Linked DNA regions of Drosophila melanogaster. The protein of the gene in region 1 interacts with the protein of each later gene in a pairwise test. Each region holds a gene or a part of one and is shown in the gene's direction. Other genes may lie near its edges.

What was found.
Region 2: the proteins of Sans (region 1) and CG43773 interact in a two-hybrid assay, tested with the Drosophila melanogaster proteins (one large-scale study listed by BioGRID).
Region 3: the proteins of Sans (region 1) and CG12498 interact in a two-hybrid assay, tested with the Drosophila melanogaster proteins (one large-scale study listed by BioGRID).

What each region holds. Positions count from the first base shown.
Region 1 is NT_033778.4:12,934,780-12,938,540, forward strand, and holds the start of Sans (scaffold protein containing ankyrin repeats and SAM domain), read left to right. Parts: upstream 1-2,111; 5' UTR 2,112-2,310; exon of another isoform or gene 2,311-2,317; intron 2,318-2,836; exon of another isoform or gene 2,837-2,894; coding exon of another isoform or gene 2,895-3,491; exon of another isoform or gene 3,492-3,564; intron 3,565-3,620; 5' UTR 3,621-3,673; coding exon 3,674-3,696; intron 3,697-3,761. Other genes in the region: SCCRO3 (squamous cell carcinoma-related oncogene 3), read right to left, coding at 1-330, 387-720, 784-921, 1,000-1,174; CG30487 (uncharacterized protein), read right to left, coding at 2,895-3,491.
Region 2 is NT_033779.5:4,005,647-4,008,602, forward strand, and holds CG43773 (uncharacterized protein), read left to right. Parts: upstream 1-2,043; 5' UTR 2,044-2,056; coding exon 2,057-2,284; 3' UTR 2,285-2,338; downstream 2,339-2,956. Other genes in the region: CG15423 (uncharacterized protein), read left to right, coding at 467-790.
Region 3 is NC_004354.4:2,807,944-2,811,408, forward strand, and holds CG12498 (uncharacterized protein), read left to right. Parts: upstream 1-1,937; 5' UTR 1,938-2,023; coding exon 2,024-2,809; 3' UTR 2,810-2,903; downstream 2,904-3,465.

The sequences.
Region 1 (3,761 bases):
TTCACGTGGCTCTGTAGGGGATCGTCGTTGTTGTTGTCATCGTCGTGGATGCCCGAGGAAACCAGCGCCCGGCTTTTCTCGTAGTCGACAAAGTCGTCGAAGAGGCTGGGCCACGCTTCGGTATCATCGTAATTTTGTATATCACATTGTTCCGTAAAATTGAGGTACATGTTCCATGTATCCTTCGGTATGCGGCGAATATTCGGGTGCTTTTCGAGGAAGTGTATCCAGTTGGAGAAGAGATCAGGTGTTTGTACAGTGAACACAAGTTTCCACAGGTCAATAGCCATCTCCAGAGAGAGGACGCGCTGATCGGGCTCCAGACCAAATCTGAAATTTGAGACGCTAATTAGGTACTGATCTTCCAAGCAGTAAGAACGGCATACCGGAATGTAAAGCGGTATAACTGCTTGAACATCTCGGCGTCCGCCTTGAGCATCTCGATTGTCTGCTCCAGCCGCACCCGGATACTGTCTATTGTGTCCGCCCTCATCTTATGCAGACCCTCAATGAACTCCACCTTGGTGAAGCGGCACATCTGCGAGGCATCCAGGCACCAGGCCAAGACGAGAATTGCGAACTCATCGGGCTGATAGTTGAGGTCATTGCATAGTCGCTCGATGCCGTCCGTGAGTATCATCTCCTCGTCGTCGGGATCTTTGTACACATCGAATAGTTTGCTCAGCGTTTGGTGCGATACCTCCATCGATTCCTGGACAGCTATTAGAATATAGAAAATCGAATGAGTATGCCGCCAAGGCAGTCGAATGAACGCTGACTCACCAGTTGTTATGATATCGCTCATGGTGGGCGCACTGCCATTAAGCAAACCTAAAGACTTAAAACTATTACGCTTAGTATCACAATTGTTTGCTTTTGCTGGCTTGAGTGGAGTTCGGCTAGAGAGCAGTTCATCGGTTTCTAGAGTGCATAAGCCGGAATAAGAGAGGTTTCTTAGACTTTGGATCACAATGCGGTTATTAACTATAGAATACCCACCTAAGGCGCAGCGCTCGTTGGCATTGGGATTAATGCCCACCGATTCGTAGCAATTTGCAAGGCTGGTGGCCGTCTGGCAGGCGTTGGAATTGGAATTGTGTGAATTGGGGGACGAGGCGTTCGTTGGCATCGATTGTTCGGCGGCAGACTGGAAGCATTTCAGGCAATTGCCCATAGTGCGGGCGTGCTTGGTGCACCACCAGGTCCTACTCCTCCCCCGTGCTCCGCCTGCAGTTGCTTGCTTAACGGGAGCACTCGATGGCTTCCAGTTTCGTTTTGGCTGAGACACTGTGATTTGTCAAGGGGCGTGCAATTGCAATTGAGGTCTGCTGGTCGTATAGCTTCTGGGAAATTTATTAACTATGCATTGGCACTGCGATTCCCTCCTCTGGCATATGGTAGTGGCTATTCCGATTCCGATTCCAAGTACGTCCTGTGCGAGTACAAACAAGTACGATTCCGATTCCGATTCTTTGTTGTCACTGCGATTGCTGTTGTTATTTTGGTGCCTCCTACGCAAACGCACACTCACGCGTATACACATACATGTGCAGGTTGCAACTGCAGCATTTGGTGCCACCAAATCGCGCTCGTCTCTCTCTATTGATGGTTTTCATTCACATTTTCAGTTCACCGTGCTCCAGCGCGTGTTTAACTACAATTTTTTACAATATTTTTAATTTGATTTATCTCGCTTTTTCACTTGTCTTGTTTTTTTCTGGCAATCGGACCAGGGCGGCACTAGTCAACCAGGGCTGCAGTGCTCTACGTTAGTTGATGCGATAGTCGTAGCAACTTCAGTCTGGCAACACCCTATCGTCGAAGAGAGTCACAGTAGGACATACAAGTTGATTCCGCACAGTAGTTCACACCTTAAATATTTTCGTACAAATTATTCTATATTCAAATACGATTATTGAACCAATACGTTCAATACAATGTTTTTATTAATTTATATTCTTTATATTACTTTATTGGTTAAGAAATTTAAAACAAAACATTAGCATACATAATTTTTCCCATTAAAATATTTAGTTGCCGTCTAAGCAGCATCTATCATTTTCTCGACCACTGTGCGTAATGTGAGCGCCGAGTTTGAGCAAAGCTAACAATTTCATTCAACAACATGCAGTCGGAGCGGTAGAAAGTGCTTCCGGGTAACGGCTTTCGGAACGTGCATATTCTACCGATCGCAGATGAAAACTTTCGGTTCGTTTGGCTAAAAAGAAAAGTGTCAAGCTGCCCGGAGTGGGAAAATCCAATTTGAAATCCTGCATTTGAAAAGTCGTCTTGAACCGGGACAACTAACTGGTAATAAGTGAGTGTGTGTACCCGTGGTAAATAAGTAAATGGTTGACTGTCTCGATTTTCGGTTGTTTTGGGCAATTCGAAAACCAGCCAACAAGGTTGAGTGAACTTGGTAGTTGGTCGTTGGTATGTAAGCCAAACTCCGTCGTGCGCAGTAAATGGGTAATGTTTTCTTGTGTGCGTGTGTCGTGGGCCTGTGATTCTTCGCGGCGGCTACACTTTTCTTTTTCTTTTTTGGATTATTAATTCGAAACGTGTGAACGTTAGTACAAGTGCTGGGAAAAAGGGCAATATGCTTAGGCTTAGGAATTTGGCTCATCTTCGGGCTTATTTTAATTGGCCAGCCCCACACAATAAGCACATTAAAAAGTGGAGTAAGACAAGAAGTACGAAAACCCCGTCTACATTTGGTACCAGTAACACCAAAACGGAAATCAGTCGATCTGATACATACATTGTACATATGTATATGCATATATAGGGATCCAAACCTAACATCACCACATCTAAAATGAGAAAACCGTAAACTAAAATGATTTATATCTTTTTTTACTCTAAATATAACAATACACACACCGTTCCAATCATTAAGTATACATTATTTCAGCGCTGAGCGGAAGATTCTTGGGTATGTTGAGCATATTTTCGAAGTAGCTGGACAGCTCTTCGAAATTAACTTCGTCGGGGCTTTGAGTCGGAGCTTCTGTGCCTCCATTAGAGAAAATATCATCACATTGACAGGTCAGGTAGACTGTATCGGGATCCGTTGGGATCGATTTAGCCAGATCCTGTAGTTTGTCCACCCTTGGGACCGTCAAGTTTATGGCGTTTCCGTAACCACAAATATTTTCACACTCGCTCATCATGGTTTTAAGATCGTAGGCATTGCCAGAAACCTTTCCAGTCGCAATCTTTGCCCAATTAGATTCCTTCTCTTCGTCGGTGTCTCGAATTTTGTGAGCCCAATCCACTCCTTCGGCACGAATTCTTTTAAAGGGATGTTCAATTATTGACTTTCGAAGAAGAAACTTTTGCTTCAGTGTATGCTTCGGAATTCGTAGATCTTCGAATTTGTTGGAATCCAAAGTTGCCTCTATTGCAGATTTATCGAAAGTTGTTGCTTCGATTGGATTGTCAGATATTATCATCTTACGCAGCTCGGAGGAGATTTTTTCTATAGACATGCTTTTTAATTGTAAAGAATTGTTGGCGCTTATGTGTGTGACCTAATTTTGAGAATCTTGAGATGTGTGATGGAAAGGAATGGCAAGTATAATGAACAGCCTACTCATCTCGCCTTGGATTCCTTTCAGATCGATTCAAGAATTTCCATCGCCAACCTGATTGAAAGATAACACAGACGAATATGTCATCGGATCGGTTTCACAAGTGGGTACATGCAATTAATTTGACTCTATCTTATCACCAATGGTGATGCACAAGAGACTCATTAA
Region 2 (2,956 bases), on another chromosome or scaffold:
AATAAATAAAATATCTTGCTCTTCAAAAAACCTACCCGTCTTTAATTCTAAAAATATTCTAAATACTGCATTATCGATTTTATTTATGTTTATGTAATTTAGTGTGAGTCATCAATCAGAAGCATGGAATTAAGTCCTTCCTCTTAAATATAAAATTGTGATTCATGGAAACCTTGAACTCTCCTCATGAAATTCAATTCGGAATTTCGTATTTATCAAATGGCACTTATCAATTTTATTTTTTTTTTATCGAAAAAAACACATTTATTCCACCTGACAAGATAACCAACTAAGCTACTGTGCAAAACGCACATAACAAAATTAGGAAAAAAAATTCCCCCTCATTAGCGATAAAAATTGACTTAAATAGTTAAGCAGGCGAAGAAGCAAGTTCAGTTCGAGAAAGCAGTCAAAGGCATTCACTTCACCCACTAAGGATACAATACTTGGATAGTTTCTGAAGAAAATGCCGTACTACGAGGAGGAACGTCGTCATCACCATCATCACCATCACGGTGGAAGGCCAATTGTAGAGGTGGACATTGTGCCGCCAAGGATTCCTCGACCAGTGATTGAGATCGGAGTGGGCGGCCGGTATCCACCACCACCGCCCAGGGTGGAGGTCATCACACCAGCTGCCGTCTACCAGCCGCCACCACCACGACCCATTATCGAGGTGGATGTGGTGCCACCAAGAGCTCCCTTCATCGAGTTCAACATCGGCGGTCGGCGTCCACCTCCCAGGGAAGAGGTCATCATCGTTCAGCAGCCCCCACCGCCCAGGTGGTAGGCGTGGTCTCCATATGACCGTCGTTCAACAACGAAGTAAAAAACTTTAAAAATATTTATTAAACTTCATGTATTTCTGCAAATAGAAACTATAAACTAACTTTTTACAAAACCTAAGCTCTTGTATAATAAAAATAAAAAATAAATAAACAGTTCACTCCTTCATGTTTGAATTTCGTGTTTATACTACTATATACTATAGTATACTATATATTACGCACATATTTCTTCATGTAAGCTGACATTTTAATTTGCCTCAATCTTATTGCCAATGCAATTGTAAATCCGCTCGAAATATTTGCTTAAATAACTTAAATGCACTTTACCTTAATTGAAATATACTTGATTGGTTTTCAATGTCGGTTCTTGCTGTGACACATTTTCATATTGCGAATATATATGCCTGCATTTATTTGCAATGTTAATGGTACAAATATGAAAATTGAACTGCAGGCGAACGACATAAACAATGGTCATGGTCATGATTCCTTTTCCACTCTCTATTTTCCGTACGGGTAATTGCTTTCGTGGATTTTTTGTGGTTTTTGTATATATTATTTGGCTTCGGTTTTGCTATCTGACTGGTGGGAAATGATTGATGTCCTCTGGTCGTAGCCAGCTTATCAATTATTGTACAACTAGTGCTGTCAGTACATAAACATATTTTAAGCTTTATTATAACGAAAACTGGGCAATAGTTTTCTCAATTTAAATGGCGTAATAAATATAAAAGATCTTGCTGGACTCAAAGTAAAATTTGAATTATGATTTTATATGAAAAGTTATACCATTCTTGCCGTATTTAAATAAGAATTGCATATCCAACTATGGCTTAAAATGTATATGTATACAAATGAAAAATATTTTTCATGATAAGAGTTCGGGAATTGATATCTAAAAAAGAATTAATTACTCATGAAGAGAAGAGTCAAGATAATTATTTTTGGATTCTTAAACTATCGAGAATAGCAAGTAAAAATGTATCCTAAAAAACCACTTAAGAAGAGGTCTATGATGAGTCACTCTAGAATGAAAAGTTCAACATCCCTAGAACATATGAGTCACAGAAAATCGAGGGATTGAGAGATTGAATCACAACTGCTGCAGCAGAATTACGAGTTTGATCCATCACTGTTGTGATAAGCGAGTCCTCAATTTTTCTTATCGCATTCAAACTGGCTGTATAAAAAGGTTATAAGTTAAAGTTAAAAGCCAAATTGAAGTGCAGTCGAGCAGAGACAACTTAGAGCCAAGACAAGACAGAGCCATGTCCGACATCAATATCAACCTCAAGTGCGCCGAGTGCAACCATCCTCGAGGAGTCCTGTACTATGCAAATCCCCTGGCTTGGGGCCGTCCTTGTCGCCAGTGCCGCAGGATGATGTCCCGAAATGTTGTGGTTGTTCCCACTCAGGTTGCAGTTCCAGTTGCTACCAACAACAACATCACCACCACTACTACATTTGTACCAGTCGCTGCTGTGTCCACCCAATAAATGGAAAAATATGCTCTTCAAAATATAATAAAACTTTTGAGAAATCGAAACAGTATTTTCCTTTGTTTTACATTTGAAAAATAGTATTATAACATTCTTTAAGCTGTGGATTTACTGAATGATTTTTTGATCAAACTTAAGTTTGTTTGTATTATCTCTAAAATTTTAACTTTGAAGAATCTGCTGATATTGGGAAATGGCTATTGGATTTTGTGGCCAAAACACTAAGTTTTCATTTATCTTGTTTATATATTGTCAATAAACAGAAAAAGTATCAACTTGGATTAGTGGTACTATAGATGATAAAAAACTATTTTATTTGCGCACCATTTAGTAAAAATCGAACATATAATGCCAGCTACTACTACGTATTTACCCTTGTATCTTATCAGTTTACTTGTGGAATCGAGTGCATCGATCTCAATAGCTTATTTAAATAAGCCTATGATTCTGATCTACCTTAACACTTTTCAAGTGCCCAGTTACCCAAGATGACTCACGATCTTATCCCAATCCCAAGGCAACCCCAAGTTGGCGAGCACCCATGAATCAGCGACCCCAGTGAACTGTATAATGCAATGAGCCAGCCCTGAAAGAATTGAATCACTAAGTTGTGCCAAAAACGTTGATCGATCAATGTGCTGATAAAAGGCAAAGAGGATTTTCTTATCG
Region 3 (3,465 bases), on another chromosome or scaffold:
GCGTTTGCATTCCAGCAACTTGAATCAAGAAGTCCAGCTCAAATGCTAACTAGTAACTAGTGAACGTTTGATTTAAGTGGTGAGCAGTAATTAGCAGAGGGGGAAAAAAATGGTGGATCCTAATAGTTATTCGTACTAGCTTCCATATATATATTCTTGCACTTCATTAGGGTTTGAGGACCGAAGAGCACTGCTGGCAGCACTGCAAAGGGTTAAGGGCTTGGCATGTCAGCCAGCTGGACGAGGGTTCCGGCCTCCTTCGCAGCTTCTCCACCGCCTTTTGCCTATGGTACATACATACATACGTACGTACTACGTACTACCCATGACACTACTCATGGGCGCAAACTTTGTGCACAGCCTGTCAACGTCAAGGAGTGGCCAACTGGCCTCCATGGCGGTGGTGACTGTACCGCGCCCCCGGCCTAAAGGTGTTCGAGGAAAAGTTCTTGAGCCTCGTCGACTTGATGTTGGGTCCTCCAGTTGGACCAGCTGATGCCGTCATGATGGATGGGTCTCATGGCGTTTAGAATTTTCTAGGATTTTTCACACTCATAGCCATCCAGTGTTTAAATTATTCGCATGATGTTCAGTTTTACGCCGTTTTAATAACTTCAACGCCACATGATTTGTTTCAAAAGTTCGCCCGAGGGATTGTCTCCCACGCGCCATCTCCATAAATTACGCCAATTTGTAGATATCTCTTAAGCAGGAAATATTTTCATTTGCCTGCTAAAAAGATTCCATTAAATTTTGATTTTTCTATTATAATTTATAATTTATTTATAAATCCAATATAACCGATTAATTACCAATTTTTGCCAGTGTTTCTTTCGCTTTATGGCCAAAAAAAAAAAAAAAAGAAAGCATCATTGAAATCGAAGGGAATTTCTGTTGGTCAGCTCATCGAAGATGAGATGAGGTGTTGGATACTTGAGCAGGGGAGGAGAAGATGGCCTGAATAGCGATGCTGATGTGGCGGTGGACAAGGATATGGATGTGGATGCCGATGATGCCGATGATGCCGATGATGACGATGATGATGATGATGATGATGATGATGATGACTGAGCTTGCATAAACGAGTTTGCCCTTAAGTGTATGCGCATGCTGAAGGATGGGGCGGCGGATCCAAAGGAACTGGCTGAGGGAGACTCCAAAATGAGGTGCTGTTGAAGGTGGTGGTTGGCAGGGGGTGTCAGGAGGGGGTCGCAAGGACGACAAGCAGAGCGAGGAGAATTTGTGCGTGAGCAGCATTTTCGATGTGCCACACATACAACCAAGTTATTTATGCAGACTCACATACAAAGCATGCAAAGATTTTGCATTACCCTTCCATCAGGCAACCACCGTCCTTCCATTAACTCGCCACCATACACCATACACTACCCACTTTCCACTACCGATTACCCACTATATCCAGTAGCCAGTAGCCAGGCATCCACCACCCACTGAATGGGCTCTGTGCCAGCATCAAAAGTAGCATCTGCCCGGGAGGTCCGCATACAATTAGCTGCAACTGTAATTAAAGCAATTGTATAATAAATCTTTTGCCAAATGGGAAAAGATCCAACCCACTCTCGCTCCTTTCAACCCCAGCAGGTATATATAATCGGCAAGGGGGGAAAATGTGGGCTTAAGCAGCGGGTGCCAAGTGAAATGCTAGCCAAGGAAAAACTACGAAATTAATATAAATTTAATAGTTTGGCCCCTGGCATTTATGGAGGGCATAAAACGAAGGCGGGTCGTTAAATGCATTCAAATGGATCAGCTAGAAAAAAAAAAAGAACGAAATGAGTGCCCTGCAAAATATTCTACAGCTTTACGGTCTATACTTACTCGAGTTTTTGAAATGTGGCTACCATTTTCGAGTTGAGCACAAATTTATTCGGGTTTGCTGTCGCCCCCACGGATTCAGTTGTCACAATTTGGTTTGGTCAAGTAACAAGCCGAAACCCTTAAAAAATTGTTCGAATGTTGATTGAGGAAACCTTTTTGGCGAAGCTCACATAAGCCCACTTAAATGTCTAACCAGCGATCCCGACACGTTCGTCGTCCGGCAGCGGAAATAGTCCGCGAACTGAGGAATCTTCGCGCCTCGCCTCTGCGGATCGACGACGAGAACGAGTCGTGGGTGAATGGCTACGAGAAGCCACCAACTCCGGATCTACCGGTGACCAGTCGCGATCAGTTGGAGCTGCTACGTCTGAGCCGCCATCGAATCGGTCTGCTTCTGGTTCGACCCGCCTTCGAGCAGGCCGTCACTGGATGCTTTGTCCGCGTGAATGTCAGTGGGCAGGGAGAGTTGCCTGATCATCGAATCGCCGAGGTGCTGGGCATCTGCGAACTGGACTTTGGCTACAAAGTGGAGCAGATACCCACGAATGTGGCGCTGCGATTGCGCTACGATGACCTGGAGATGCAGCACGAGATTAACGATGTCTCTAACCTGAACTTCACCCAGGAGGAATTCGAACTGTGGCGCGATAACTGTGTTAACCAGGCCATAAGTCCACCCACCACCCACATACTGACGCGCAAGAAGGTCGAACTGTACAACGCACTGCAGTTGGAGGCCAAGCCTTTAAGCCTGATCCAAAGGACCTTCTCCTTCGCCCTGAGGCCCCAGCAGAAAATCGGCATCATGGAGCGGCATGGCGTTGTTTATCCCTGGCAATTGAATCATTCGCTCCCGTTCGTTTCGCAATCGCCAACTGAAAATCCATCGAGGGGAAAAGCGGATACCGTAGACGAGGAGGAAGATCCGGGGGCAGCTGCTCCATTATTACCAAAAACTGAACCAAATTAATAGGCAATTGTTAATTTTTGAACATTTATTTAGCAAAGATAATGGCAATTGGTGGAACTTTTAATGGCTTGTTATCATAAATAATTACAGTCATAATTGTTGTGCGAATTTTTGGACTTAAAATGTGTTAAAATGTAATCCATCGAACTGGTTGAAATATAATGAACACCAGCGGATTTTGTTTATATAAATTAGGAGGATCTATGAGCGCTCAAGCTTTAATAAAAGTTTATGCTTGGAGTTTAAAAATGATTTAAGTTCAAGGGTGTTGAATGCAATTTGGAACTTACACTTTTACAGCACCTATAAATTCTGCAAATAAAATGTTTTTAAAACGATACAATGTGGGAGCGTGGGGAGTGGAAATTGGGGGACACTTAAATGCCGTGCAATTAGCAGTGAAACAGTGAAAGAGCAAAGAGATTGAGATGGCCAAGGTGGCCAAGAAATTCGACCCCTTTGAACGGCTTTTGTCGCCGGTGTGGCGCCACCTAGCGGCCAGCCCCTTTGCAGATTTGGGAGCAACTTTGGCACGCTAATGAACAACAAACTTGGAGCAACGTTACGAAATGGCAACAAAATATCGTCAATAGGGCAAAAGAAATGACGGAAATTAAATGAAATGCAATTAACCAGCTAAATGAGCGAGAGTCCGC